3 linked regions of the Rhinolophus ferrumequinum genome follow. The protein of the gene in region 1 purifies or fractionates together with the protein of each later gene. This does not show direct contact. Links are inferred from orthologs where the notes say so. Each region holds a gene or a part of one and is shown on either strand. Other genes may lie near its edges.

Region 1 (10,379 bases):
TTTGTTCCTCCCAATCCATTCTCCACTCTTTGCCATGTCCTGCCATCTCCTTTTTTTTTTGCATCTGTGGGTCACTAGCTTCTGAGGTTGGGTCCTCTAGAAACAGACACTAAAACAGAGTTTTAGTTTTACGGGATCAACACCTATGAAAAGAAGGGGGAGAGACCCGGACTGGGCAGAGGGGAAGTTGAACTGCAATATAGGCTCTACAAAGCTTTAGTCAACCCAACAGGGAGGGAGCTCTGGAGTGAGGCGTGCCTGCCAGAGTGTCTCACATGAAGCTGAAATGGCCCTGTCTTTGTACTTCCTTGTCATTTACTCACTAGGTTCACTAGATCACCTAGGAAGGGGTAAGGTGGCTCTCTGCAACTGATGTAGACCTTGGAGTGGCTGCCAGGCAGAGGCTGTCTGCTAACTGCATTTCCCGCAGCTGAGCAGAAAGTCTTAACTTGAAGAGGGTGTGTTGAGAGCCATCTCCATGTCTTCCACACCAGTTTGAATCTCAGTGTCTCCTGGGCCTTGTCTCTCTGTGCATGTATCTACCATGGGAACTGTTTCCAAGCGCTCTGTTCTAGTGCCTCTTCACTAGTAAACAACAACAACAACAAATCCAGCTTCATCAGTTCAAGAAGTTCTCCCAAGTAACTTCTAATCAAATTTCTCTTTCTTATAAATTACCAGAGTAACAGGCAATTCGTTGAAGGAAATATGCTCCCACTTTAGGAAATGTGAGATATTACGAGAGAAGATAGTACTATACAGTATCAGAAACAACATCACCAAGAAGTACAAGAGCAGCATTCATGATTATGTCTTTCTATTCTCATGAAAAGGGATGCTCTGTGATATCATCTCTCAGACACTGAACATGTGGGTGGCTTTCATGATTCCTTCTTTAGCTTGATGCAGTAAGTTCTCTTACCTCCTGTATGGTTTCTGAAGGATGCTGTAGGCCTTCCAAACCAGTATTCCTGAGTGAGTGTTACCATGAAACCTTCTTTAGCAGCAGTACTATATTTTAATATTGACACACACTTGATTTGCAAAATGCATCAGCCAGATAATATCTGGCTAAGTTAATATGACTGTTTTTACAGTGAAAACTGATACTTTATTTAAACTAAATACTCTTATCTCTTGCATGCACTTCCTCTTCATTTGGGTTTATTAGATAAGTTAACATTGTGCTACTGTATTTTCATATATAATTTCTTGTTAAATTATATTTAAGTAATGAGTTGAATATAAAATTAGATCACCTGAGTGCATTAAGTAGCAAGAAAGTGGGAATATTTCTAGCACGTACCTTAGGAGCAAATCTCTCCAGGATGGTATCTTAAGCAAGGATTTTCTTCTCATTTTTCTTGAATCAAATCTCATGTAGGCCAATCAATAGACAAACTTAAATTTATCTGGGTTCTTTTCTCTCTTAACTTAGAACATAATTAAGTCAGTTAGTTCAAAATTTAGCTGTAGTATCTTTAATGTTGAATACAAAAAAGGATAAAGTACATTAATTATTGAATATTCTCAATTTGATATTATAAATTACGCAAATTAGCTGAAGAGCTAATCCTGTTTTAAATGTCTTTGACAACTTATATATTTATAGATTTTCAAAAGCATTCAAGAAACCAACCTATACCTCTTTGAGTGTGCGTGTGTACAGCTATGCAGTACTCTGATTACAAGCCAAATGATCTGCAAATTCATGCCATATTAGATTCTTCCTAAGGACATAAAAATCTTTGATTTGAGAAAGCAGGCTTCCTACTAATTGTTGTTTTCGGAAAACAAGCAAAAAAGAAGAAAACATACTTCCTTTTTTTAGGACTTTGAAAGCAAATGTCCTTCACTTTAGCTTGCTCAGGTGCTGGATATTTGTCTCTCTTATGTCAGGCACTAGAGGGGAGTGTGGTGTCATACATACAAGAGCTACATTCTGCAAACCACACACACGCTGGCATGCCCAAATACAGGGGAAAGCTACAGCAAAGACGGGCTTAGAAAACTATTTCCTCAAGATTGAAATAGGACAACTGCGATTTTCAAAAATCTACTGAGATCTAGTGTTATACAAAAAATTCCCAATATAGGGCTTTGATCCCTTTTAAGTGACAATAGCATTCAAATAACTTGTTTGCCTAACTTTATTGGTATTTTTGAAAGGATATATGCTCGCTGATTTTTAAAAGAAAGTCCAAAACTATGGAACAGTACAAAGAAGAAAGTGAATACAAGTTGAAATCACATCATATAGTTCCATTGTATGGGGGAGCATTCTTTCAGACATCTCTAACTCTCTCTCCATTTATAGAAATATGCAGACAATTTTACATACATGGAATAATACTGTACCTGCTCTTTCTGGAATAGAACTGTTGCGGACGATATCTTTCTGTGGCAGAAGTAGATATCTTTCTGTGGCAGATGACTGGATTCTTGGTAGGAAGGCATGGTGGTTGTAAGTAGGGGGAAACACAGTGCCTAGGTTTAAGTTTCTTCTCTACTAACTATGTGATGTTGAAGTGATTTAACCCTTCTCTATGTACCTCAGTTTCCTCAAATACAAAAATGGGGATGATAATATTACTTACCTTAGAGAGCTGGTGTGAGGGTTAAATCAGATCACATATTTAAGTGTTTAGGACAGTACCTGGCACATAAGTACTACTACATTTTAACTAGTATTCTTACCTAAATACAAGATTCAACTTCATAGTAACACTGAAATTTTTTAAAATATGAAAGTGGGATAGTTTTTCAAAATAACTTTCATCATGATATTTCAAAAACTTTTTGTGACATAAATTGTTACTGCTTCTACATGTAATAATAATACGTACTTTCTCCATTGATGCTGATATTTGCATGCAGCAAATACTCAGTTTGTACTTATTGACTGACTTACCTGAAGTTTTTAACAGAAAGAAATGATCTATCTTTTCGTAGAGGCTTGTTTAAGAAATGTTGAACGCAAGGTGCCTTTAAGAGAGACAGTTTCACATAGGCCACCTTTATAAGACATGAGTCCAACTAAAAATTCCTGTTAATTATTAAACCCCAATGTATTATCTGGATACCTGACACTGCAGATTGAGAACAGACAGTGTTTGTCTCGAAAGTTAAGCCTAAATACCGATAGAAAAATGTAGTTTTCAAGGGATTTCTTTAAAAAAACTATACCTTTTTCTCTGGTATTTAGAAAAGAGAGTGGGGTATCTCCTGTTTTGGGAGGCCATATCTACAACCTATATGGTTTAAACCTCATTTGGGATTCTTGCTTGTTTTAGCATGGCGGAGCTTGGAGTTCACAGAATCCTTCTTTTGGTTATTTCTCTGACAAAGTGTCTGGAAGGCACAAAACTGCTGGCAGCCTTTAAAAAATGTGGTGACTTGGAATGTGAAAGTAAGTTTGCTTTTCTTTTTTTTCTTTTCCTCTTAAATTGAGGCTCTGAAATGAAATAAAATGTTATTGTGGACATGCATGGTAAAAATGAGCATTGATATCATTGAGAATTATTTATAAAGTATAGTTCAGTAAAAAAAGAAAATGTTGAAGACATTTTGTGATTTTTTTTAAATGTAAATATACAAAAAGGCAAAGATCAGCCTGATGTATAATTATGTCAGAAATTATCAATATATTAATCCAGACCTCAAACTTTTACTATTTTTTAAGATAAATATAATTGATTTATATTAGAAAAGATATCAAGCCATTTGATATTTCTTGATTTATGAAGCCCCGATATTTTTCAGTTTCTATTTCACAATCAGAACTTTCTGATTCTCATGAGTTCTCTAAAAATGAATTTATTTCAAACCATCAGGATATACTGTCTAAACTTTATCAAATATTAATAATTTCTAAGTTCACTAGTTATATAAACATATTGAAATCAGTGTTGGCAATATATAATTTTATTTATACCCTTGAATATTCAACTTTATATTCTATAAAGGTATATTAATGTTATTTTATTTATTTATTTTCATATATATTTTGATTTTATTACAAGATATTTTAAATTTTTGGCAGATACAATTGTGACAGAAAACCAGCTTCACACACAAAATTAATCTTATTTTCTTGCTTAAGAACTTAATTTATTTTCTGTTATTAGCATTCTGGTGTAAAATGAATTACATACTAATATATTATAATTGCTTTAAATAAGGTTTATCTCTCCAGTATGTGAGAATTATTTCTGATTTGCAATATGTAAATTAAAAATGGAAAATATTATTAGTGTAAACAAATAATTTACAAGCAAATGTTTTATGAGTAAATATTTTCTTTAACCATTCGGATGTGTAATTTAATATGTTGAGGTTTACTAGATAATGTTTTATAATAATAATAATCTTTCTTTCCCTCTTTACAACCTCATTTTAGTTACCTTAAGGCCAGACGCAGAACATGGAATGAGAATATTCAAATTTATAATGTTATTTTAACTTTGATTGCATAACTTAATTAAAATGTTTTACATATATTAATATAATTATAAGTTAATTTGGTATGTATATTACTGTATGTATTAAATCTAGCATATGGGTTATGATCATTCATAGTTATTGAGGGCCTGTTATGTGCTGAGTCTAGATGGGGGGGATGAATCTAAGAGAATAAAATGAAATGTTAAGATAAGTTTCTTGACCTCCAGGAATTTTCATTCTACGGAATAAGTGAGACAAGATATTGATTAATTAGTAAACACTGATACAACCTAAGGATAATAGGTAATACTGAAGTTCAGAGAAGGGGCAGAGTAAGCTAAACGGATTAGGGATGTCTCCCAGAGGCAGTAGTTATGAGTTCACCATGAAGAGAAACCGAAGGGTTTCTAGGTTTAGGAAAGAGCAGAAAGAAAAGCTGGGAATACAGAAGATAGATGATACAGCGAAAAGAACCTCAGTGCAAATCTTGGCTCCACCATTTGTCAGGTGAGTGACCAATTCTCTGAGACTTAAAGTCTCATTTGTTAGACTGAGATGAGATGAGATTATTTACCTCATAGGTCTGTTTTGAGGATTTAATAAAATAAAGATATAAAAGAGCTTAGTATAATGGCTGGAATACATAGGTACCAGGAAAAACATTAATTATCTTTTCTTTCCCTTCCCTATTCACTGGAAAATGATAATGACACATTCCAGGGACAATGGATAGAGGAAATTGACTGTAAAGGAATCAGAGGATGTCATTTTAAATAGGGTAGGAGGACCAGGTAATGGACAGCTTTGGATACCGAGCTAAAATGTTTTGAATTGATTCTGTGTGCAGTGAAAAGTCTATGTAGGTTTTTGAGACCATAAATTATATAAAGAAAATTAGCATGGAAATACATAGGATGGATTGGAAAAGAGCAAGATGGGAGGGGGAGAAATAGCATTTTAATTTAAATTGTGTGTTTTTCTTTACATGTTTACATAGCGTTAATAAGCAGAGTCTTAGCCATAAGAGATTACAGAGGAGCTGACTGCCGATACCTGAACTTCACTAAGGGAGAAGAGATATCTGTTTATGTCAAACTTGCAGGAGAAAGGGAAGATTTGTGGGCAGGAAGTGTAAGTATCTAGTCTTAAAATCTGAATGCAGAATAAATGGCTAGCTTGTACAAGGATGCCTGCTTTTCATCTCTAAAGGAACTTAAAGAATTCCAAAGTACTTTTTATACATTTTAAAAACCCTTACCATATTTAAACAAACAAAAATGGTCTTGTTTCAGTATTGGTTCCAGAATATCTATGAAGTAGCTTTTGGGAAGGCAGTCTGGTTGGCATGGAGAACTAAGAGTGCTTTGAGATTATTTTTACATAGCATTCGTAGTTTTTGAACGTAAATTTTTATATTTACTTGGAGAGACTTTAGAGGTGCCCATAGAAATTATGGGATGACCCCAGCCTTCCCTTGCATCCTATGGTGCTGCCAATGGCCAAGTTTAAGAGAGACTGGGACCTTTTAGCTTATCATATTAAAAAGGCACATCTTGGGGTGACTTGTTGGCTCAGTTACTTAGAGTGTGGTGCTAATAACACCAAGGTTGCCGGTTCAATCCCCGTTATGGGCCACTGTGACCTGTGCCTTCCTTAAAAAAAAGAAAAGAAAAAGAAAGGCACATCTTTCTGAGCAAATAAAGGACTGAATTGTTAACTGAAAAGGTCCTCAGAAAAATTAGTAGCCCAGGGAAGCAAAGTATATGAACTTTTCATGGAAAACAAGAACTGGCCCAAAAAAGACTTTGACCCAAAGTCCTATTACACTGAAATTCATTGAAGCCAGAATCATCTCTCTGAATATATAACACAGGAAAATTAATGATTAATGTTTTCAGTTGAAAATAGGTTTGTATGGGGCAGCCGGTTAGCTCAGTTGGTTAGAGTGCGGTGCTCTTAACAACAAGGTTGCTGGTTCGATCCCCGCATGGGCCAGTGTGAGCTGTGCCCTCCACAACTAGATTGAAACAACTACTTGACTTGGAGCTGATGAGTCCTGGAAAAACACACTTAAAATAAATAAAAGTTAAAAAAAAATAGGTTTGTATGTTTGATTATATCATTATGCTTTATAATGAAAAAATGCTATGATAAGCATTTTTCCCAAGCTGAATAAGCATGACCAACCTGATACATAACATTATTTCCATATTGCATATGCATCAGATCTCTCCCTCTCTCTCTCTCTCTCTCTCTCTCATAGACTCTGTGGTCACTATTTGAAAGAACAGATTCTATTTGGATCCATCCTGCTTTTTAGCATCAGGGGCTGTATGACTGAAACTGACTGTCACTGGCCAGAATTGTTTGTCTGGCCTCTGCAGCTCCCAAGATTCCTTACTGCTCATGGTCCCTTAAATATGCCAATCTATGTCTTGAATGCATTAGAGACACCCCATGCACCTATAAGAAAAATGACACAGTAGGTATAAGAGGAAAAGAAAGCATTCTTTCTTGTTTCCTATGCCTGAAAATGATAGTTCCACACAAAAGCAGCGTGTAATGTGTGGAGCCAGGGTGAAGTTTCAAGCATATATAATTTTATGCATTAGATGTTTAGTCCAGGCAGATGACTGTTTAAGGAAACACACTGTCAGTTCACCCACAGGCTGTCAATTTCCAAATAGTTGCAGCAACTGCAGAGCTGGAAGAATTACAATGAAAGTGTAATGCTGCTGGATTGAGGGACCAAAAGAAACATGTTATTTAAAGCTTGATAGGGATAGGAAATGGGCTGAGAATGGTTGTGTGAAGCCCTCACTCTCAGGGGACATCCTACATGTACTTAAACCGGATTAAGAGGATCTCTGTTACCAAGGTAGCCTCAGAAAAGTTGAATGGAACCAAATCCTCCCTGGAGGACTCACAGATCTTTACTATCTTGATGAATCTGTCTCGGTCCTTCAGAATTTAAACCTTTCACCTAATTTTGACATCCTGAAAATGCTGAATACGTCACAGCTTTATCTAGCTTGGCTACTCCCACCTTTCGATATCCCAGGTTTACTAGTGTACATCTGTGGTCCACCTGGGCAGGGAAAGTCATTAAGGAACACAAAAAGGAAGAAAACGAGTGTGTGGGATGGTTCCCCTCTGAAGTTTAAAAAAGTGGCATTTGATAGCTTTGCCTCTTTGTTTCCTCAAACTAATGCTGTTCTTTTGAATAACAAAAGGAATATAATATCACTCACTTTCTCTTAGATGGCATATTAAAGCCACTTAATATTTGTGATATTTAAAATAGATGAAAGCCAAGGACATGGGGCAAAATTACTTACTTTTTTTTTAAAGATTTTTTATTGGGGAAGGGGAACAGGACTTTATTGGGGAACAGTGTGTATGTACTTCCAGGATTTTTTCCAAGTCAAGTTGTTGTCCTTTTAGTCGTAGTTGTGGAGGATGCAGCTCAGCTCCAGGTCCAGTTGCCGTTGTTAGTTGCAGGAGGCGCAGCCCACCATCCCTTGCGGGAGTTGTACCAGCAACCTTGTAGTTGAGAGGTCTCACTCCAACCAACTGAGCCATCCAGGAGCTCAGCAGCAGCTCAGCTCAAGGTGCTGTGTTCAATTTTAGTTGCAGGGGGTGGAGCCCACCATCCCTTGCAGGAGTTGAGAAATCCAACCGGCAACCTTGTGGTTGAGAGCCCAGTGGCCCATGTGGGAATCGAACCGGCAGCCTTCGGTGTTAGGAGCACGAACCACCTGAGCCACCAGGCCGGCCCCCAAAATTACTTTCAATAGTTTATTGCTTTGATTACTCTTCCTTGACGACCTTTTGTTTTTCATTTTGATAGAAAGGAAAGGACTTTGGATATTTTCCCAGAGATGCAGTCCAGACTGAAGAGGTGTTTATATCTGAGGAAATTCAAATACCAACTAAAGTGAGTAAACTCATTTTGGTTATTAATTGAATTTAAAATTTCTTGACTAAAACAGTTTTCTGACGTATAAGTGCGCACTGGTTATGTGTCTTGTATAGTGAATATATAAAATCGTTGGTCTGAGAACACACATTAGGAATAGTTGGAGAATGTAAATAAAATTAGGTAAGACGAAGCTGATGACAAACAAAGATTTTGCTTCCTGAAAAATGAACAGACAGGCCGTGGAGTATAGTGGCTAAGAGCATGGATTCTGGGGGTGGACTCAGTTCAAAGCCTGACTCCGTCACTTAGTATCTAGCTATGTGGTCTTCATTTTCTCATGTGTAGAACGAGGATGATGATTATAATGTAGTGCTACCTCATAAACTTATTGAAGAAAATATGAGCATATGTAACGTACCTAGAACAGTAAGTGCTACGTAAGTGTTAGATATTATTACTAACGTGATTGTGCTACTGGGACAAAGTTTATTTCCCCTGACATTCTTGTTAAGAAACATAATATAAATGGATCCACTTTAAAATGGAACCGTAGCTGCCATCCCAGAGGAACTGCCTTGCATGTCTTATGCCTCAAACTGTTGGAATGTTCAAGCAGGGCAAAATAACCTTTGGACTGGGCCTGTGTCCCAAAGAACTGTTGGCAATGATAACAAGAAAGCAGATATTCTGACTATATGACTGAAAATTAAAAACATTGTTTAGAATTAGCATCACCATGTTAGCTTATCTGCACCAATAGAAATGCCTTCCTTCTATTGATATAATTGTTCCCCTTCCCTTCCTCATAAATACCCCCTTCCTTTGCAGTCCAGACTGAAGTCCAGACTGAATTGGAACGCTACCAGTATTTGGGTTTCTGCCGGAATCAGTGATTCCTAACAGCTATTTTTTTTTTTAATATCTCACATAAATTCTTCTTGCCTCTCACTTTGAAAGGCCTTGTATTTTTTGGTTAACACTCTCTAGATCTCGTATCTGTACAACCTCTTTTGCTGTTAGAGTTTTGAATAAACTTGATAATATTGGGCTTGATAATGAGAAAGGGAATCAGAAGGTGACTTTTTAATATATGAATTTGATTAGCCCATTTAATTCAGATTCCAGAATAAGCCAATTTACCTTAAGTGAGACCAGTGTCAAGCGAGGCTGCCTAGTTAGGCAAACTATTATCTGGCTCTTTCCCAGCACTAATTCTGGGATTAACTGTCCACTTACTGTATAATCACTGGTCCTGTTAGTTCTATCTCCAAAATACATCTGACTTTATTGTATTCTCATCATTTCACTCTCCCGCAGAGCCCTAATTCATTATCATTATCTCTTAATTAGAATACTGCAATAGCCTTCTAACTGATCTCTTTCCCTCTCCTTTTGCCCTTTCCCAATTCATTTTTCAAACAGCAATGCATCTTATAAAAACAAAAAAATCAGGTCATGTCATTCCTTTGGTTTAGAGCCCTTTGATGGCTTTTCATTGAAGCTGGAATCAAGCCCTGTCTTCCTTACCCTGGTTCCACTTGATCTCCTGTCCCTCTTGCTGACCCTATCTTATGTCACTCTCCACTCACTCGCCATCTCCTGGCCGCCCTGGACTGTTGACTGTTCTTAGAACGGGCCAAGGTCTTTCCCAGCCCAGCGCCCCAAATAGGCGATTTTCTCTGGTTGGAATGCTTTCCCCAAGTTCTTCACTTTGCTAGTTCTCTCTTATCCCTTAGGTCACAGCTTAAACATCCGTGCCTCAGAGAGGCCTTCCGTGGTGATTCTTATGGAATCACTGCTTCTTAGTCACAGCTTCCCGTTTATTTCTTCCATAGCACTTACAATTTACAATTACTTTTTTTTATTGTTTACTATAGAATTTCAGCACCTAGCACAGAGCAAAGCACATTGTAAACATACAGAAGCCCCAAATTCTTAGGTCAAGTTCCTTGGGAAATAAGATTCTAAGATGGACCTTTGTATCCAAGAAGTTTACTGGGGAATCCTCTTGGGA
Region 2 (10,379 bases), on another chromosome or scaffold:
CTATCTGCATGCTGGGATTCCTTTGAGACCACCCGCTCCCTGGAGACCCCACTCAACTCATTGCTCTTTAATCAGCGCCTTACTGCTGGGCTCTGCCAAATGGTGGACCGGTAGGATCTTGGCAAGTGGGAGGGAGAAGCAGAGAGTAGGATGGCAAAGACACCAGGTTCTCCCAGTGCTTGGGTCAGTTCTATATCTGGGTTTTTTCACTCATAAGATAAAACGGGCTGGGGGCTCTGGATCAGGTCCAGGAGCAGAGTCAAACCTCTAAGCGCTCTTTTGCAGAAATAGAAAGGTGATGGAAAAGGTGGTGAATGTAGACTTTGTGCTACAGGTATAGTCTTTCAACCATCTCCCCTCCACCCAAAATTGTTCTTCTAGTATCTTCCCATTCCCTATTTTCATCCTAGCCTATCCTGCCCTCCACCACCCACAGGCCCATACAATCCGCCAGTTTGATGAGCGCTACACATCTGTGGCCTTTGGATATCAAGACTGTGTTACCTACTATGAGGCAGCAAGCCCAAGAACCAAGGTAGATGCCATCCAGATCCCTGTGCTCTGCCTCAACGCAGCCGATGACCCCTTCTCCCCAGTCCATGGTGAGCACCCTGAATCTGGATGCTTTAGGGCCCAAGGACAATGGGCCAGGAGGTGCAAGTGGAAAGCCTGGGCTCTCCTGACCTCCTCTCCAACCCTCCCCCCAGCCCTCCCCTTACAGGCTGCCCAACAGTCTCCCCATGTCGCACTGCTCGTCACTGCCCAGGGTGGCCACATCGGCTTCCTGGAGGGGCTGCTCCCCTGGCAGCACTGCTACATGAGCCGCCTCCTCCATCAGTATGCCAAAGCTGTCTTTCAGCATCCAGCAGAGCTGCTCGGCCTCAGGGCTCCCTCACCTTCTGAGGGAGGCAAAAGCTGACAACAGTACCACTGGGGTCTCAGTTCAGTCTTCCCTTGTTTATTAAATATAACTTTTCCTGCTGAATGGACTGAGGTTCATCTTCCCTTCTCTCGAGGCTAGGGAACTTACTGCATATTTAGCCTGGCTGGCTTACAGCTACCCAGCTGAACCCACACATTACTGCCTGGGTCTTCCTTTTGCCCCTTCCTTCCCTAACAGCAAGTCCCAGGCCAACAAATGCCAGGGGCTCATGTGAAGAGCAACTGGCCACAGGTTGTGAGGAGAGGAGAAACGGATTGTTTCGCAGGAAGGGACAGCAGTGCCTCCAGATTCTGGGGCATCTTCACATATTTCTGGAGAAAGGACAAGCTCAACTCCGGAGCCTCTGGTAGACAGAGGGAAGGAAGCAGGTGGTGTGGCCTGGAGCTGCAGACACTGCTCTCCTGGGTAGATCCACAGATGATGAATGCAGGGTTCCCAGGACTCGAGTGGCACAGGGCCACAGCCGAGCTTTTACTGGGAAGGGCAGGCAGTACCCAGCAAGTCTCATCTAAGGCCACCTCAGCTGTAAACCCAGGTGGAGGTGGAGTGAGCAACGGGGTCCAGGCCTCCACCCTGGTCCAGAAGGTGGCAGTGTCCAGGTGGCAGTCTCCCTGGGAGCAGGGAGGCTAAAGAAAATCTGGAAAGGCACTCTGGAGCAGCAGGATGGTCATAACAATAAGCCCGACACATAGCAGCAGCAGCAGCCACACAGGAACACTCCCTGCAGGGGGGTAAGGGAAGTAGTCAGGGGGCAAAGGGACTTCACAGCCTGAAGAACAGAACCTCAACCGGTTCCATTCAAGGAGGGGGGATGGCTACAAGCAAGCAGCCCATTCTCCAGGGGGCAAATTTTTGCTAGAGCGAAAGGGTAGGTGGTACCCCCACCCCAATGACTCACGCCGTGAGGGCAGCAGGTGCAGCTGGCAACGGCTATCAACAGCCACAGAGAAAAGGGCAGTTTCGTGGGACCCAAGGAGCTCTGGACCACGACCTTTCTCAGGTAGAAAGGCCACATCTGTCACCACGATGCCATGGGCCTCCCTCACATAGTAGAGGCGCTGGAGACAGAAGGAGAACTAGTGAAGGAAGGCCCAATTGGGAACAGTTCTGGAAAACATCCCCTCTGCCCCCAGAAGGCTTTCCCTCTACCGGAAGGCCAGACTCCTTCCTGCACACTCAGGGTACAAGCAGGCCTAGAGTCCCCACTCCAAAGAAACCTCAGGGCTGTGCCCACCTCTACCCGTTACCTGGAGAGAGAAAGCTATGTAGATGGCAACAGAGCCAGTGACCGTGCCCAGGCCTAGGAAGGTGCCCGATTCACTGCAACAGACAATAAAATGCTCATTGTCCTGGAGGCCTGTGCAGCGACACTCATTCACTAAAAACAGTCCTCAGGGACTCAGGCAGGATTCCTTCCCAAGCTCCCCCAGCCACCCTCACACCCAGCCAAGCCAGCATCATCTCATACCTGACACTAAGGCAGGAGATGACTTCATGGCCACAGGGTTTGGTCCGAAGGGGCAAGAAGGTGGAGCCATCCCAGGCTGTGAGGTAGCAGGGTGGGGGCTGGCGCAGACGCTTGTGGGGAATCTGCACTGTGAAGAGTCGCAGCCCAGCAGGCTGGTCTGGAACCTGCCCAAACCTGGCAGCCAAGTGAGAAGCTGTTAAGCGTCTGGGGCCTGCACAACCCTCCTCAAGAGTCTGTACCCTCCTGCATCCTGGTCAGGCCTGAGGTAACACCACCAAGGCCATGATGCTCCCCAGTTTCCCCTAAGTCTTTCCCCACTCTCCCACCACATCGAGGCTGACCCTCTGGGGTCAGCCAGGGTCTTCACACCTGCAGGCCTGGTAGCGGTAAGGCGTGTTAGAAAAGGTGGGTCCATTCTCTTGCCAGTGCAGCTGTGTCACCAGCTGATCCTTCTGCCACACGGAGGCCTTCAGGTCCCAGCCCACAGTTACCAACTAGTCAGGAATCAAGATTCCAAGATGAACAGTTAGGAGATCCACTTACAGAACACGCAGCATAATTACATACTTTCTCCACCCTCTCACCTCCTCACCTTGCCATCAGGCCCCAAGGCTAGATCCTCAATCTCTCCTTCATGGGCTTTGAACTCCAGCACTTTCACTAGGTTGGGTACCTGCAGCCAAACCACCACCATGATTAGCCAGGCAGAGCACATTGATTCCCACCCCTCCTCTCTTCTCATGGCCATGCAGCGCAGGTTTCACTCTCATAAATTCCTAGAACCCAAGTTCAGTTTCTCACAATTCTGGCCTTGCTGCTACTGACATTCATCCTTCCTAATCCCCCAAAACCACACCTTCCAGACACGAACGTAGCCATCTGTCCCTCCAGTGGCAAGCAGGGTATTATCGTGGTTGAAGCACACAACTTTCTGCAGTGGATCAGGGCTGAAGTCTGTCTGCACTGCCTGCAAATTCTCTACTTTGAGTTCTACTCCATCCTGGTGGGTTTCAGCTCCAGATTTCTTCTCTGCTGGGGCTACCCCCTTTCTTTGTCGAGGTCCCTGCTCCTTGGAATCTGCAACACAAGCAGCCTGTCACTTTCCAGTCTTCTATAGTAATCCCAGGTCCCTCTCTACAATATCCAGCTTCGCACTGCTACCATAACCCCACTTCCAGCGCCACTTTTACAGAAACCAAGATGAGAGTGATCTCACTCATGTAACCTTTTCCAAAGCTAGAGAGGGGGCTTCTCACCTGCCTTCTCTGCCTTGTTTTTGCCCTTCTGCTGCTGGGTCTGGAAGCGCAGGAGCTGACAGTGGGCATCCTGCCCTGCGGCGAGGATGTTACCCGCCAGCGCCAAGTTCATGGTGGCCCGTGTCTCCGTGTCATGGGAGTGTAGCAAGGAGGCGCTCAAGCGCCCATTAATCTGCTCTAGCTGCAGAAAGTGCTATGGGAAAGGGAAGCACAATGAGCAAGGTTCAGGGGTGCTGGGAGTTTACCTCAAGGGCAGACTTGCATCCTATAGTCTGATGCTCTACCCCTTTGCTTACCGCACTTTCTAGTGCACAAGGATTTCTCCAACCTTTGTTTCTTTTTCTTTTTTTTTTTTGAACCCCGCAAATCTGGACAGCTGGCAGGGTTGGCGTTATTGCCTCCAGTTTACAGTGCAATAGGGTGGCGCTTAGAAGGAAGAAACCTAGCCTAAGGACCAAACGCAGCACTCTCGCCGCCGTTAGAGGGCAGACGGACAAGTCTTTGTGGCCTCCCTGGAAAAGCCCAGGATAAGACCCCCGGAGCTGCTCCTGTGGTCGAGTTTAAAGCGTTCCCGCCAACGCAGCGCTAAGAGCAGTTTTCACTTTACCTCGGGAGTCTCTCAATCAATTGCTCGGCTGAAATTCGCGCCGGGATATCCGGCATGCCGGGGATTTCAACCGGGGAGGGGCAGGGTCCGAAGCTGGGGTGCGGCCCGACCCTGCGACCCTCCCGGAATCGCCTTCAGCCCGTGGAGTGACCCGGTCCCAGCGGCCCCGCTTTCTCACCACGCCATTCTTTATGCCGGTCTTGGCGGCGCCTCCTCCGCCCGCAGCGATGAGCAGCCCGGTGCTGGGGTCGACCTGAAGCGCGTACAACGGGAACGGGGCCCGGTACAGCTCTGGCGCCCGGCGCCGGCCCATCCCGCTCGCTTCACTGTCCGCACGGCGGCACCCGGGACATGCTGCGCCCGGCCTTCGGTTCTTGTCCCGGCCGCGATTGAACTTGGCCCCGTCGTTGCCGGGAGGACTCCCGACACCTCTCACATCTGCCGGGTGGCCAAAACTCGAACCACACAGGGATCAGTGTCTCTGCCCCCAGCCGGCTAAGTCGGGCTCGCAGACGCTCAGCGCGCAAGCGCACCGAGCTCGCTCTCCTCGCGCAGGCGCAGACCCGCCATTACGCGTCAGCACTGGCGGGCCGTAGGTGACGGAACACCAGCGCCAGGGTTCTGGTCGCCGCCCCCCCGCGTGACGTCAAATTTCGACCTCTTTTTGCGGGGAGGGAGAGGTGCTCTCCTGTTTCGCGGGAAGGTCCTCGGGGATTCTGGAGGAGGAAGGGGAACCAACAAAGATTAAGGAAGGTTAATAAACCTTTAATAAAGAAATCCTTGGATTAGGGCTGTCTACCCTTCAAGAGTGACACGCAGACTCATGCAGCTCAGCCTTCATGTTTTACCCCAGAGAGGAAGTGATTTGTCCAAGGTCACGCACGGGCAATGTAATCTCTCAATGGAGGCAGTGCGGAGTTTCGAACGAACTTGGCTTCAAATTCTGAATCCACTGCTTCCTCGTCTGAGGAACCCACTATTTACCTTAACAACCACCCAAGGTTGGCAGGCAGTGGTGGGAGTGGCTCCCGAGGATTTGTAGGTGGAGGCTGCTCCCCTCTGACACCTTGAGAGACAGGCAACCTGGCTCCCAGCCGGGCAGATCTCACTTCTGCCTGACACCCCACCCTCCTAGGAGGCCCTGGGGTTTCTAATCTCCCAGGAGAGGGTCCCTGTGTTTCTCGGCAAGTGAACGCTAGGAGTGCCCTTTCCTGCAAGGATACATCTGCTGCTCCCCTGGCCTCATCAGCGTGCATCTTATCAACCTAAGGTTCCCCCAGAGGAAGGGGCCCAGTGGCTTCGTCTTTGGGGATGCCATTATCTGTCTTTACATGTGTGAAGTGTCTGCCAGAGCCCTCTGCACATCTCAGGTGCTCAGGCCTTGTGGATCCCATGCCTTCCTCAGATACATGGCATCCACTGTCCCTGGCCACTGTTTCCTTTGACTCCCCCAGAAGGTGCTACTGTAGGCAGAAAGAACTGGGCGGCTGAAGGGAAGGGGAAGGAAGAAGGAAGTGCAGGGAAACAAAGGATATGAGATCATTCTTAAGGTGCAGCTACAGCTAATTGTAATAGATTATAATATTATTAGCATTATGGGCGGGAAAAAATCTCTACCCCCTATGTCACCATATGACAGTTCAAACAAGGGCCAAGTAAAGACAAGGGAATCCCACCTCCCCACAGGAAGGAGTGATAAGCGAGGACAGCAGGAACCTGTCCTCACACCTGTGACGCCACCCCTAAATCTTGAATATTTCGTGCCCTCATTCAAATAAAATCCTAAACTTCTTTGTTCTTTGGCGCAGTTGCTGTTCTTGGCCTGCTTACTCCTGCCTTTTGGGAGTCTATTCTCTGTCTTTTAACAAATCCTCTACTTGCTTGGCTTGGCTCGCTTTGCTTGCTTGCTTATTCGGTGCATTCCTGAATTCCTTCCTAAGGCGTAACCAAGAACCCATTTTCCAGTAACATAGGTACCCACTGTGTCTGCTCAGCAGGGCACAAACACAGGTTTTTCAGGGTCAGGCTTTATTGGATACACTGAAGGCTGAATGGGGCCTTGGATGCCCTTGGTCCTCTTCAGCCCGGAGAGAGCAGACTCCACAAGGGGCTTCCAGGGTTCAAGACTGGAGAACACACCTGACCTCCAGCCAGCCAGCCCTTCAGGGTGTCTTGGGGGCTTCCCAAGATCTGGGGCCTGGTGGGGACAGTGGCGTTTAGCAGAGGTGCTCCAGGGAGCCTCCGCGGCTCTGGAACTAAGGTGGTGTCTTTCGGAGAATGGGCTCTAGAGAGGCAGGCCTCTCTGGAGCAGAGGAAAGCTTGGGCTTCAGGGAGACAGTGGCCTGTTTTGGTGCCTGAGGTGGAGGCTCTGAACATCAGGCGGAGTTTGACGGCTGAGGGCCTGCAGACCTGAGGCTCCGGGTCTGGGAGGGTGTGCCTGGGGCTGAATTTGCCCGGGCCTGAGCCATTGCTGGGGCCCGAGATGCCTGGGTTGGATACCCACAGGCGGGAGGGGCCTTGCCCTGAGACCCTACTTCCTCTGGCCTTCTTTCTGGTAACAGGTGCAAAGCCCTGGCCTGGCCACGAGGCAGGCGAAGGCCAAAGCCGATGCCTAGGCGGAGTGGTCCGGATTCCTGGCCCTGTGCACAGGGCAGTAGTTGGGGGAAGGCCAGGAGCCGGGGTCCAGTCCTGCAACTGGGGATGGGGCAAGAGGGGCTGCGGGGCCGGAGACACACCAGGCATATGGGATACTCCACGACTGGAGCCTGGCCGGTTCTGCCTAGCCACAGGTGCTGCAAAAGCAGTAGCCGCAGGTCGTGTGCAATGCGGCGGTGCCCCAAGTGGGCCACCAGGGCCTTGGCCAGTGCTCCGGGGTCCCTGAACTCTGCAGGGTCCCTCTCGCTTGCCACGCATTCCCCCACCACCCCAGGGGACCTGGTGTCCTGGTACTGATGATGCCAGTGCCATGTCTGCCTGTTAGAGTAGATCCCCGGAGAAGGTAGGCTGGGGCTTGGGGAAGTAAGAGGGGAGCTAAGTAGGTCTACAGGGTGGGAAGGAGTCTGGCAGCCTGAGTGGGAGAGAGAGTTCTTTGGCTCAGAGGGAGACAAGGAATGAGGAGGAGGAGGAGAGGGGTATAGCCGTTGGGAGGGAGAGGAGGAACGTGAAAGGGAGAGAGAGGGGTGATTCTGATGAAAGAAAGTGGGAGAACTTGGGAGAGAGAAAGAGTAGGGATGTAGGGCAAAGTCAGAATATGACTCAGAAGAATAAAAATGGGAGACAGGAGAATGGGACTGTGGAGAAAGGAAGCTAGGTGGGTAGGAAGGAGTGAGTGATTTCTGGGGAGGCAGAGGCTGAAGGTTGGGGGGATGGGAGTCCACAAGTTGTGAGGGGCCCTGAAGGGGGTGCCCAGGGGGCACTGTGTTCTGTAGAAGCACCTGGTCCTTGTTTTTAGGCAGCATTGCCTTGAGTCCAGAAAGGACTGGGGTGTCAAGTCCAGAGATTAGAGATCTGGCAGAGTCAGGACCAGAATCTCTGAGGTCAGACTTAGCTGAGAAACCAAGGTCTTCTGTGTGCAGTGTGAGGCTGCGTTGGTACAGCTGTTGGTGGCAGGCCAAGGAGACAGCCAGCCCCGTAGCACCAGGCTGTCTGGGTGTTCAGGCAGAAGCTTGGGTCTAAATTCAGCGTCTCACTTCTTTGCAGTCAGCCATTGATGAGGGATGTATAGGGATGGAGAATCAGAGCTGCCTCGTGGGAGCTGAGGGGCAGCAGCAGTTATCTGAATGGGTCAGGAAGACACAGCCTATAGGACCTGTAGAGAGGGAAACAGAGCCCAAGACATTGGGAGAATCAGTCCATTTCTGGCTCTACTTCATGTGCCAGTACCAGGCTGATTCACCAAGACCCTAAACGCATGTCACCTTTGGGGTCAGAAGAGCTGGAAAATGCTCCAGGGTAGGTTAGATCTGAGGAGAATTATAGGGAGAGAGGGTAGAATGGAGTTGGATGAGGGGGTTTGGGGGGTGAGGGCTGAGATGGGACTAGGAATGGAGGGTATTCTGGTGCTGTGAGCTCTTACCAACGAGGGTTTCTCTGGGCTGTGTTTCACAAGGCAATTGAGCAATGAGGGGACGTGGGAGAAAGATAAACAGTCACTACAGGGTGGATACACCCCGCTCTGCTTCGTTTACCTCCCTCAATTCACTCTGACCCAGATTTCTATCTGAGACTTGCCCTCAGTCCTCTTCCAGGGAGGTGGAGGTCTTCTGTTACAGGCTTTTGTTCGAAACCTGAATCAGGGATTCTGCAAGCATCCTGGTCTCCTGCCACTCTGGTTCCCCTGACCCCTTGCTGCCTGTAATGCTGATGTCCTCTGGCTCAGCCTCGCCCAGGCTGAGACGGTTTACCACACCCAGCAGCAGTGGTAGCAGTGGGCCTAGCTGGTGAAAGCCTCTGGGAGACTGGGACTTTGTTTAAGGGGTGGCGTTGCCGCCCCCCTTGGGAGCTAAGAGCCCCATTTCCTAGGGGCAGTTCTCCTTGACATCCAGTGCTTATGTCACAAAAGTCAGGTACTGACATCATAGACCCTCTGCCTCAAGGCTCTGGGACCTTCTTTCAGGGATCATCCAAAGCTGGTCCTTGACAAAACTGAAGCAGGCAAAAATCTTTGGGGCACTCAGTCTCCTCTTCAGGTCCTATTTCCCACCTCTGCTCTCTGCCCTCTCTTGAGCTATATAGCCTATTGGGCTGGGCTTTCCCTTCAACTTCCTGTTTTCTTTTGCTTTCTGATCAGTGGCTCATGCTCCATTCCTCCCTGGCCTTGGGATATAGTTATATGTTTTAACAACTGTTTTCTTAACAGCTTTATTGAGATACAATTCAAATACCACACAATCCACCCATTTAAACTGTGCAATTGCTGTCTCCTAGTATACTCACAGGGTTGTTAAACCATCACCACAATCTCATTTTAGAACACTTTTGTGTTCTAAACAAATCCCAGACCCATTACCAGTCACTTCTTATTCCTCCCTTCCCACCAGTCCCTGGAAACTATAAATTTACCTCCTGTTTCTATGGATTTGCCTACTCTAGCAATTTCATATAAGTGGAATCACACAATATGTGGCCTTTTATGTCTAACTTCTATCAGTATGTTTTCAAACTTTATTCAAGTTGTATTTATTCCTTTTTATTGCCAAATAATATTCCTTTATATGCATGTACCATATTTTGTTTTCTCATTAATCAACTGATGAACATTTAGTTGTTTTTACTTTTTTGGTGATTATGAACAATGCTGCTATGAACACTCTTATACAAGTTTTGTATGGATATATGTTTTCATTTATCTTGAGTAGACACCTAGGAGTAGAATTGTTGAGTCACATGATGAGTCTATATTTCACATTTTGAGGAACTGAAACGCTTTCTTTCAAATTAGCTGTACCATTTTTCAATCCCACCAGCAATATATGAGGGCTCCGATTTTTCCTATCTTCACCAACACATGTTATTGTCTGTCTTTTTGATTTTAGCAATTCTAGTGGGTGTGAGGTAGTGTAATATTGTGATTTTAGTTTACATTTTCCTAATGACTAATCATGTTGAGCATCTCTTCATGTACTTATTAGCTATTTGTTTATCTTCTTTGGAGAAATATCTATTCAAATCTTTGGCCCATCTTTTAATTAGATATTTTGTGTTCTTATTGTTGAATTGTAAGAGTTCTTATATATTCTGGATACAAGTCCCTTATCAGATATATGATTTGCAAACATTTTCTGCCACCCTCTGGATTATCTTTTTATTTTCTTCATGGTCTCATTTGATGAACAAAACTTTAAATTTGATGAAGTCTAATTTATCTATTTTTTTCTTTTCTTGCTTGCTTTTGGTGTCTTATCTAAGAAACCATTGCCACACAGTATTCCCCTTTATCCTTAGGGGATATATTTTAAGACCCCCGGTACATATATATAGATATACCGGGGGTGCCAAAAAAAATGTATCCACATTTTAAGAGATGGTCAATGATGCTCAAGCAGTAGTTTGCCATAATCAGAAGTGCCTGGACACTGATGGCAACCACTTTGAGCACTTCTTATA
Region 3 (10,379 bases), on another chromosome or scaffold:
TACAATGATACATGTTATTATGCTGTATTTTATTTGTTTCAGATGTAGTTGTCTTGTCCTTTTCAATCCAACCACAAATTATTCATGATCAGGAACTCTCCTTATCTTATATTTTGATATTTTGATCCCTTCCCCCCACAAACTACAAATTTATTTTTTTAACTCTTACTCAACATTTGCCCAGTGAAAATTCCATTTGAGGTGTTAACAAACAATACACTTGGGATTATACACACACACACACACACACACACACACACATACACACTGGCAGGAAGAATTACCACTACCACTCTCATTGTGAGAAACTGAGAAATTTTTTCTGATTATCCATCAAGCTTGTTAATATCTCTTTAAGGCGATAATAATGATTTAAAAGAATACAGATAAACCGAAACTCTGGAAATCTACCAACTCTCATTCTTTATATAAAAGCATCTCTGAATATTAGTCAAAGTAAATATTAGTAACGTAATATTGATTTGATCAGTCGTTTTGGAATTTTGCTTTTCCACCAATGAATTGTCATTATTTCTACTCTAAATAGAAATAAGTAACATTAGTATTATCATTATTTGCTTTAATATTCTGGTAGTATTTAGGAAAAAGTACAGTGCAATTTCATTCACTCCCTCCATAATAAATATGCCTTCAATCAACAAAATATATTCCAGGTTCTGTTCCTGGTGTTGAGAATGCAACTGAGGGGAAGACAGAAAACGACTTGCTCTCATGGCATATTCCTTCTTGGTACTGTTTATATATGGAGGCTCTGTGTAGAGTAATAGTGTACCATATTTATAATATGTGAGGAATCACAGTTTCATCCAACAAATCATTAATTGAGTACCTCATACATTCCTGACATTTTCCTAGGCACATAATTACAGCATTGGACAAAACAAATTCCTTGCTCCCGTGGAGCTTATACTATTTGGGGTAGGGGGACAAAGAGATAAACAAATGTAAGGCAGGTGGTAAAGGCTCTAAAGAAAAGAAAAGCAGGATGATGGGCTAGATAATCACGGACAGAGCTCTACCTCGTGTAAATGATCAGGGAAGGCCTCTCTAATAAGATAAGGTGTTGTTACAGACCCTGGATGAAGTGAGGGAAGTAGTTAGCCAGGTGAACTAGTGGGGGGAACTGTTCCAGGTTGAGAGAAAATTGCAAGTGCAATGCTTGAACACAGGAACGGGTTTGATGAGTTTGAATGGAACTAATTGTACAAGGGGAGAGTGTTAGGAAATGGAAGTCAAAGGGATGACCAAGTCAGATCAAATAAGACAGTGCAGTCCATGATAGTCATTCATTGCATTTTACTTGGAGGTGGGAAGTCACAGGAAGGTTTTGAGCAGAGGAGCAGAGGTTTTGAACATGACCACATTTATATCATCACATTTATATCATGAAATGACCATGCTGGCTGCTATTGAGACAACAGACTTTAGGGAGGTAAAAGCAGAAGCAGGGAGAACAGTGAGAAAGCTATTGCAATCTTTCAGGCGAGAGATGATGGCGGCTCGGCCTGCAGTGTTAGCATCGGAGATGGTGAGAAGTGCTCAGATTCTGGATGTTTCACTCAGATTATGCTGAGTGAAAGAAGTCTGACCAAAAAAAAAGATAACGCATACTGTATGATTCCATTTATATCAAATTCTAGAAATTACAAATCAATCTATAGCAACAGAAGGTTGTTTGCAGACAGGCAGGGGAGGGAAGGGAGGGATTACAAAGGAGCATGAGGACTCTTAGGGGTGATGGATATAATTATCTTGATTGTGGTGATGGTCTCACGGGTATACATATGTCAAAACTTATCAGATTGTACACTTTAAATGTGTGCAGTTTATTGTATATCAATTACACCCCAATAAAGCTATTAAAATAAAGAATGCACAGGATTGTCTGGTAGATTGGACATAGGGTATGAGAGAAAGAGATGTCAAGAATGGTTTGTAAGTTTTTGACTTGAGCACCTGGAAAATAGGAACTAAAGTGTCATTATTGAGACGGGGAAGATAAAAGGATCAGGGTTTGAGAGACAAAATAAAGAGTTTGGTTTTTAACATCATAAGTTAGAGGTGCCTGTTTGGCACGCCTAAGAATCTAAAGCAAACAAACACATAGTAGAAAAGAAATGAAAATCTCCGGAGGGCACTACTACTTGGATGCTCGGTGACCTTATCCATTGTACATTCTCTCCAAACAGCATGGGAACTACACTGGACCAACGGGACATCTCACGGCCCCTATAGACGACTGTGAACACCTCTGGAAACATCCCGTCTTTTCCTTTATTCAGCATTATGGATTGCATGGATGGGCCACATTCTTTCCTCTTGCTTTCAAAGAATCCAGTTAGTTTGGGAAGCCAACTGATGGGTTTGACTGATGTTCCAGGTGGATGAATAACCTTAGCAGAGACTGCAGTGAGGAGCCTCTGGCCACAGACAAATGCCAAGTGCTCCAACCAGAGCCAGAATATTGCCGCCACTCCTCCCTCGGCTGACATGTGGCTTTTTTTTTTTTTTGTGTGTGTGGCATATATAGATAATTCAGTCATATTGTAATTTAAGCAAGATTTTGCTTCCTCTAGTCAGACAGAAAGAACAGAAATTGCAATGTTGCTTGATGGAGGCGTTATACAGTTATGATTAAAAAGGAGCATATTACCTGGTTTGAATCTTAGAGTGTGAATGCCTCAATTTACTCATCTCAAAAACGAAGACAGGTAGTAATAGGATCTACTATTGTTGTGAAGATTAAATGAACTGATACACATGAACACCTTAGAACAACACCTCATCCTAAAGAAAGCACTCAGTAAATGTTAGCTGCCATTAATTAGCTTTCTCCTACTCTGACATTTATTCAGTAGTCGTTCTTATGCTTGTTGGTTTCCACTAAATTGTGGGCTTCCTTAGACAAGGGCCAGTTATCTTGTCTTTGACCTACATATTTCCGCACACCACCCTAGTATTTTGTCCAATGTCTGGCGTGACATGAAATGGTAGCATAAAATGAAAGCTCAACACATTCGTGTTGAATTAAATTACTTCTTCCCTTATGGATAAAGTCCCAAGAACCTGAAGATCTCAGCACAGGGACCTATTGCCCACCTCCATCCCCCAGGGCTCAGAAAGTGACCAAGCAGGCCACCGGCTGTAATTTACATCACCAACGCACCACTCCACTCACACTCCGCCTTCCTAATTAAAGGGGATCATGGGATGGGGCCCCAAGAACCCCCGGGGGTCGGAAGGAGAAGGAGCCTTGAACCAGGACTAACAGTGGCAAACCGTGGGTGGGATTTGATAGTCCAGAAAAGGAAGTACCCAACCAAGAATGGGGGTTGGGGGGTGAAGTGGGCTGGTTTGGGACAAACCAGAAATCAGAATCTGCGAGGTGCCAGCAGGACCTGTTGGTGAGACACAGCGAGGTTAGGGGATCCAAGGTCGCAGAGAGGGGTGAGCGAGGAATGGAATGGCGCGGAGGGTCGCCCGCGAAGGGACAGGGGCAAAGGCAGGCGATTGGGCGAGGGAGAGGATATAGAGTCCCGGTTGCCAAGGCAGCGAGCAGAGGAGGAGGCCTCGGGGAGAAAGTCGCAGCTGCGGTCCTCCTCCGGGAGCCCTCCATCCCCTCCCCGAGCCCGTGCTGACGTGTCAGCCGGGAACAACTCAAACCTTCCCGGGCGCCGCCCCTCCGCGCCGCGCTTCCCACCCGCGCTCCGCCCCCGGCACCGCCCGCCGGCGCCCGCCCCGGCCTCCTCCACCGCGTCACCGGCTCCGCGAGGTGACCACAACATGGCTGCGGCGCCCGGGCTGCTCTTTTGGCTGCTCCTGCTCGGGCCACCCTGGCGGGTGCCGGGCCAACCGGAGCCGGACACGAATCGGCGCTTCTCGGAGTATAAACTCTGCGCGGACAACGAATGCAGCAGTGAGTGGCGGGAGGGGGACAGCGGCGCCGAGGCTGCGCGGGGGCGGGAGCTCGGCAGCCCGCACGCCGACCGGGGGCTCGCAGGCCGGGGTAGGGGTGATCCCCGGGTCCCTGCCTTTGTGCCCTGCGGCTCTGCGGGCGCCCGCTGGCCCTGGCCGCTGGGGGCTGCACCTCCCACTTGTTGCCGGCGTTTTATTTTTTCATTGCTGGCCCGGCGGGGAGGGGTGTTGGGGGTTGGAGGTGGCCCCCGTTTCGGGCAGCTCCCAGCGTCCGCTCCACCCGCCCGCCCGGCGCGTAGCGGAGATGGGGTGAGCGCCGCGCGTCCTGCTCCCCACGCTGCCTCCGAGCGCTTTCCTGTCCCCGCCGCGGCGACCTCGGTGGGTGCAGCCCGGGGGCAGATGCGCTCAGGGCTCGGTGGGTGGATTCTCTGCGGCAGGTTGATGGTGGGGCTCGGGAAGGGCGCCCTGGCACTGCCCCTTCGCCCTTCTGCTTCACTCGGATTTGGGGCTCATACAGATAGATTGGAGTTTAGATTTGGGACGAGCGCGGAGTCCAGGCAAGCAGAGTATTCCCATGTCTCCGCCCCGGCTCTGCCTCAATCCTGTCATTTCTGTGCTTAGAAGTCCTTACAAGCAGCCAGGCAGGGCGGGCAACAGCAAGGCCAAAAATCTTTCGTTCTGGAAAGAGGCTGAGGATATGAATCGGCCACCTGGGACCATCAGCCGCCTCTTTTTTGCGCAGGAAGCGGAATTGTTCCCATCTTGGATTGGGGGTGGGAGGGTGTGGAGAGCTGAGGTCTCAGACTCAGATGAAGAGGATTTTGAAAGTAACAATAATAAATACTCCAAGGATTTTATAAACCCAACCAGCTTTAGCTTTAGTCACTGTGTTGTTGGAATCTCTTCCTAGGTTTCTGCCGAACGAGGATCATTCTTAACAGCCTCCCGACTGGTCTCACACAACCTTGTAACTTACTGATTACCGCTTTGGAATCGGTTGTTCATAAATTGTAATTGATACATACTGAAAAATATTCATTCTGAAAAGGCCATAAGCCTATAGTTTAGCCATTTATGTTCAAATTGGTGTTATTCAAAAACAAATTACATAATTTGAAGAGTTTGTATCACTGCAACACCATTAAAGAAAAGAAAGGAGGCAATCTTTGATTTGTGTTGAGCCATTCCTGGAGGTAACCCCTAGGGTGGATGTAAATAAACACGACAAAAGCAGAACAACTTCCATCATGATTTCTTCCTTTGGTTACTTACCCCTCCTCTCCCCCCAGCAAACTCAGGTTGTTAACAAACAGGGTTGGCTCTGGCAAAATGCTTGCTATTCTTTGCTTTCAAGCACTGTGCTGAGTTCCTCAAAACCAGTTGCCTGGAGATCACATCCATGATGCTTCCTCAGTACAGAAACATGGTGTTGGAAAGGCCCTTAGTTGTCACAGAACTTGAGAAATGGCATGTGTCCAGACAGATGTAACAAAATATAGCAGGCAGCAGCTGGAGCAGGGTCTGGATCTGTGTTGTGTGGCATGGGCTTTTCAGATAGTTGTTCACCAGTATACATTATGTTGTTATCTCATTTATTACTATAAATCCTCAATGATCTCTTCTAACAGGGACCAAGAGAAACATTGCTATCTCCAGTTCTGATAGAGTCTCCAATCTTATACTGTCCATCACCTTCAACCTGGCCTCTTATCCAATTACCTGTGAATTAGGATGCTGATATGTATTAAAATAATCAGATTTTAGCTTCAAAATCCAAAACTCCTTCAAATCTATGTTTGTCCCTCAAATATGTATTTAAAAGTATGTTTTAATGTATTTATTGCTAATTCGCTTTTAGGAAAAAAGGTTATTTCCATTTTATCCTTCTTTTTCGCCTGCTATTTAATTGCATTTATTGTCCATTTCATCTTACACCAGAAACTGTATCTGGCCAACAAAAAGAAAAATACCAGTTTCTAGTTCTATCAGTCCTACATTTTAGGACTGAAGGTAACTACTGAACAAGTCTCACAGTTAGGCTTGTCCCTGCCACATGTGATGATGTCCACTTTTGATTTTATTTATAGAAATAAGTAAATAAGAATGCTTCAACTTTGTTTTGAAAACTTCTTAATGTTGGGTACAGTCAACATTATATACTTTCAGAAAATACTACCTTGTAATGTGATTGGATCCATAATAGGATTTGACACCCTTTCCTGTTAATTTATTCAGATGTTGTAAGGACAGAACAATTTGGCTGCAGATGACACTGACAGTGTTTATGGCTACGTGGTAGCAGTTAGAGCCACTTAAAGATAGTGCCTTTTAGGGGTTAGTTCAAGTTAATTGACCCCTTGGGGGTTCCTAGGTGCTCTCCCCAGTTTCCTATTACCTCTACATGTAGTCATGCTTAAGCTAGTCAGTATCTCTACTTGAATTTACCCGATTGCAAAATAAAGCTTTTTTATGATTATGAAACAGCAAAGATCGAGGACTAGAAGGTGAGAGAGGGAACGAGAGTTTCACTTGAGACCAGGCAAGTGTGGTGGACACATTGCTTTTTGTTTCATTATGCATAGAGAAAGCCAGGAAAAGTTTCCCTCATCCCCGTCTACTTGCAGTGGGTGTCATGATTTATAACAATAAACCTCTAAATATGTTAGATACTTTGAGCATGTGAATTGAAAGCGACTGGTTCCACAGAGTACTGGAGAAAGTGAATTGTTTACAGTGGGTTCTTACATTTCCTGATAAATCAATGTGGACTGTGAAAGTTGAATCCTGACATCCGGTCATTTTTTTCCTCTCTTTATATACAGTGTTAATGTACCGGGGTGAAGCTCTAGAAGATTTTACAGGCCCAGACTGTCGTTTTGTGAATTTTAAAAAAGGTGACCATGTCTACGTCTACTACACACTGGCAGGGAGATCGCCTGAACTTTGGGCTGGAAGTGTAAGTAAAAATTTGACATACTTTCTTTTTTGACTTCTTACTGGCTTGTTTAGCACTGTAGATTTAAATAACTGTTTTGCTGGGTCTTTGATGGTGTTAACCTATCCTCTGTGCTAGAGTGTGAAAAAGATTTGGGTCCCCAGCAGGCATCAGGCTTGGCACAGAGTAGGGGCTCAGCAGAGGTTTCCTAAACAGAACTGAACTGCTTCAAGTTCTAGACCTGATCAGCCATGGGTGCACCAGATGTAGTAAAGGTTAAAATAGTGCAACCTGGAAATTCTTAACTCCATTGCTTCAAAAAGGGAAGATTTATGAGCATTAGGCTTACTTCTATAAATTATGTGCAAGATAGTGTTTTGGGCATTCACAATTAAAGTTGATTTTGTGTGCGTTTCTTTTTTTCTAAGTTATTAATATTTGTGAAAAACTGGCAGCTTTGGGAACAGTTACATAATCGTGTGCCATTCTTAGTCTGTTAAAAAAGCAAAATGTCATTTTCACTCTGTACTTTGTTTGTTTGTTCTGTTTGCAACTTCTAGGTAATCTTTTTCCTGCTTTTTAGATATTTGCTCCTAGCAGTTTCCCCAGCAGCTCTACTGCACCCAGTTCTACGGGTGCCCTGATATGAGACATGGAAATCAATGCATCATGCTTTGATGTTTTGAATGAGAAGATTCACTAGGAGTGACCTGATTGAGAGGCTTATGAGATACTGTCCTTTCCTTTTTAAAAAGTGTGATGTGTGGACTGTTTATCGAAAGTAGTAAAAGTCCTTGATGTCCTTAGGACTGTCCAAATTTAGAGATATATACAGTCCCTACTGTGAAAACTTTCACTCTCAATAAAACACCAAACAAACAATAGAAAATAAGACTTGAGAAACCACCATAAGGAAAAAATAGACTCATTTTTTTGGCGGTCCAGATTCCTAGGGAGAAATCTCCAAAGGCCAACTGGTCTAGATACAACCCTTGTATTTAGGCAGAATCCCAGCTGAATCCCTCTATACAAAGAATCTATTCTGTTTCTTTCAAGTCTACCACATGAGACTTCTTAATCTTTACACTTGGAGAATTTTCCCCATGTTCCTAGCTTCCTTTTTCATCTAGCGGTTAAGTTTGAGCATTTGAATAAGTGAACTTGACTTGCATTTTTCTATCTCCACACTTTTATTCACAACCGTATTCACCTCTGGAAAGCCTGCCATCCTGAGGCCCAGCTCTCATCCTGCCTTCTTTGAGAAGCTCTGACCAGCCAGAAGGATCTCTGCTGTCTGAGAATAATTTAGGTGGCACTGTATTTGCACTGCTTGTGTGGAATTTTTTTTTTTTTTACTGCTCTGTATTGCAGGTAGTGTGTAGAGTGACTTAGCTCCTATAAAGTTAAAAGTCCTGTTACTGGAAGGGCCCATGTGTAACCCACCTTCCTTTTGAATATTTCCTTTCAGGGCGGTGGCACTTAATTACATGTGTCCTGATAGTAAATAGCTTGTGCAGAATTTGTTCTCTTGAAACAATATTCTACTTTTTTTTTCCCTTCAAATCAAATCAGCAGTTCCCTAGCAGGGATGATGTGTGGAAGCAAAATGAGATATAAAGATCACTTCCTGTCATGAAGGCCCGTGATTCTGCAACATTGTTGTTTGTCAGATCATAAGAAATGAGACACCACCCCCGTGTAAAAATCCGGAGTTTTATGACCTGTGGTCTCAATTGACAAAGATTACACCAAGATAAATATATTTCCTTTCTCTGCAGATCTCTGATTTCTTTCCCCTTTCCAGAGTCTCTCTTAATGAAGTTTTCTGAGAAGGGAAAAAGCGTATTTTCCCTCAGTCTCCCCTCTCATTTCATGAACCTTATATTTTAGGAAATAAAAAATTCTTTCTCCTTAACCTTCAAAATGATTCTTGTTTCTAGTTCTTAGTTTTCATCCTGCAGTCTTTTTCGGTTTCTTCAAGTTTCAGACTTTAACTGCCAATGTGGCAGTTTTAAATTGGCCTTGTCTTATCTAATCTCCAAGGCAGTATTCTACCACTAATACTGGCTTTCAGGTAGTTGCCAGATATAACAAAAGCACTCATAATGAGGATATTTTAGGAGTTAGTGATAAGATAGCCTTTTTTCTTTTTGTGCATTTGATCTGCATATCCGTCTCCTTCTTTAATGATTGGGAAGAGATCTGCTCTCTTTCAGACTGTAGCTAGTAAAAGACAGTGTATGTATCTCAAGAGGACACATTTAATATACCTTGGCTGTTAGTGCTGTAGATAAAAGGGATAATATTCTACAGAGGTTTACTCTGCATAAAACTAAAGCTTGATGTGTAGATAAGTATGACTTTTATTTTCTCCCCAAATACTTGAAAGTCTAGTTTTTGAAAACCCTGATACAGCCCATAATGTCAATAAATATTTGCCTTTTGTTGTGTTGGTCATACATGTCAGAAATTTTGTATTTTTCACCTATTAATTTTAATGGCTGGTGTTTATTGGTTTAAGAAAGACTTACAAGTACTGGTTTATGAGCAATGCTGTGAAATGTTTAGGTAAACTTTTGCTAAAATTAGAATTGTGTTTCTAACCAGCTTTGATTTGCATCGTTTTAATCCTATAGTATACAACAATCTTCTATGCTTCTACTTCAAAAATCTAACTTTATGTGCCCTGCTTTTAGAATTAAACTGAGTGTTGAAAGAAAACTTCAGTGGTTTTAGAAAAGTAGGCTTTACAATATCATATACTTAATTTTTATTGGAATAATAACCTTGTAATCATCATACTGACTGTATCTCTTGTGGTTATAGCTACCTGTCTATCTGTGTATTTTCTCTCATTTATATTTCCTGTACAGAATTTTGATTGATATTTGTTTCTTTTGCCCCTTCTTTTGTACAGGTTGGGCGTATTTTTGGATATTTTCCAAAGGATTTAATCCAGGTAGTCCATGAATATATTAAAGAAGAGCTACTACAAATTCCAACAGATGTAAGTTGTGGATGTTTTTTTGGTTCTCAGTTATAATTGGGTTATAAATTCATCAGCTGTTGACTACAGTGAGCCCTCACTTAATGTCGTCGATAGGTTCTTTGACTTTAAGTGAAATGACATATGATGAAGCCAGTTTTAGCAAAGGTTAATTGATATAAGCAAGAGTTAAGTCTCTATGACATCTCATCTGTGTTATAAGAAAATGACACTGAATGAGACATTATTCGAGGACCTGCTGTATTTTTTAACGTGTTTTGGTAAAAAAACAGTTAACATTTGTGTATCAGATTTTAATTTAGTATCAGGAACCTTTAAAATAGAAAAAAGAAAAGTTTGAAGAGAATTTACAGGAGACTATGTCATAATCTCGTAGTTTACATGTAATCTCATCTACATGTAATCAGATCTTATACAAGGCTGTGTACTCTTGTACAGGGTTTTTCTTTGCTGTTTATATGAGAAAAAAAATTAAGAATTCAGTAGTATCCTTACATTTAG

The links.
Region 2: the proteins of MIA2 (region 1) and PREB purify together in Homo sapiens (affinity purification with western blotting; 3 studies listed by BioGRID and IntAct, with this or other methods). This does not show direct contact. The link is inferred for Rhinolophus ferrumequinum from reciprocal best matches to the Homo sapiens genes MIA2 and PREB.
Region 3: the proteins of MIA2 (region 1) and MIA3 purify together in Homo sapiens (affinity purification with western blotting; 6 studies listed by BioGRID and IntAct, counting the BioPlex papers as one, with this or other methods). This does not show direct contact. The link is inferred for Rhinolophus ferrumequinum from reciprocal best matches to the Homo sapiens genes MIA2 and MIA3.

What each region holds. Positions count from the first base shown.
Region 1 is NC_046289.1:86,528,788-86,539,166, forward strand, and holds the start of MIA2 (melanoma inhibitory activity protein 2), read left to right. Parts: upstream 1-3,089; 5' UTR 3,090-3,294; coding exon 3,295-3,409; intron 3,410-5,440; coding exon 5,441-5,574; intron 5,575-8,293; coding exon 8,294-8,380; intron 8,381-10,379. UniProt on the Homo sapiens protein: Plays a role in the transport of cargos that are too large to fit into COPII-coated vesicles and require specific mechanisms to be incorporated into membrane-bound carriers and exported from the endoplasmic reticulum.
Region 2 is NC_046296.1:53,516,470-53,526,848, reverse strand, and holds PREB (prolactin regulatory element-binding protein), read right to left. Parts: upstream 4,859-10,379; 5' UTR 4,588-4,858; coding exon 4,453-4,587; intron 3,861-4,452; coding exon 3,668-3,860; intron 3,489-3,667; coding exon 3,268-3,488; intron 3,085-3,267; coding exon 3,004-3,084; intron 2,906-3,003; coding exon 2,781-2,905; intron 2,586-2,780; coding exon 2,412-2,585; intron 2,264-2,411; coding exon 2,191-2,263; intron 2,002-2,190; coding exon 1,842-2,001; intron 1,665-1,841; coding exon 1,570-1,664; 3' UTR 932-1,569; downstream 1-931. Other genes in the region: protein ABHD1, read left to right, coding at 1-110, 286-334, 437-602, 708-919; PRR30 (proline-rich protein 30), read right to left, coding at 6,650-7,732.
Region 3 is NC_046310.1:12,219,480-12,229,858, forward strand, and holds the start of MIA3 (transport and Golgi organization protein 1 homolog), read left to right. Parts: upstream 1-3,764; 5' UTR 3,765-3,804; coding exon 3,805-3,937; intron 3,938-6,758; coding exon 6,759-6,892; intron 6,893-9,788; coding exon 9,789-9,878; intron 9,879-10,379.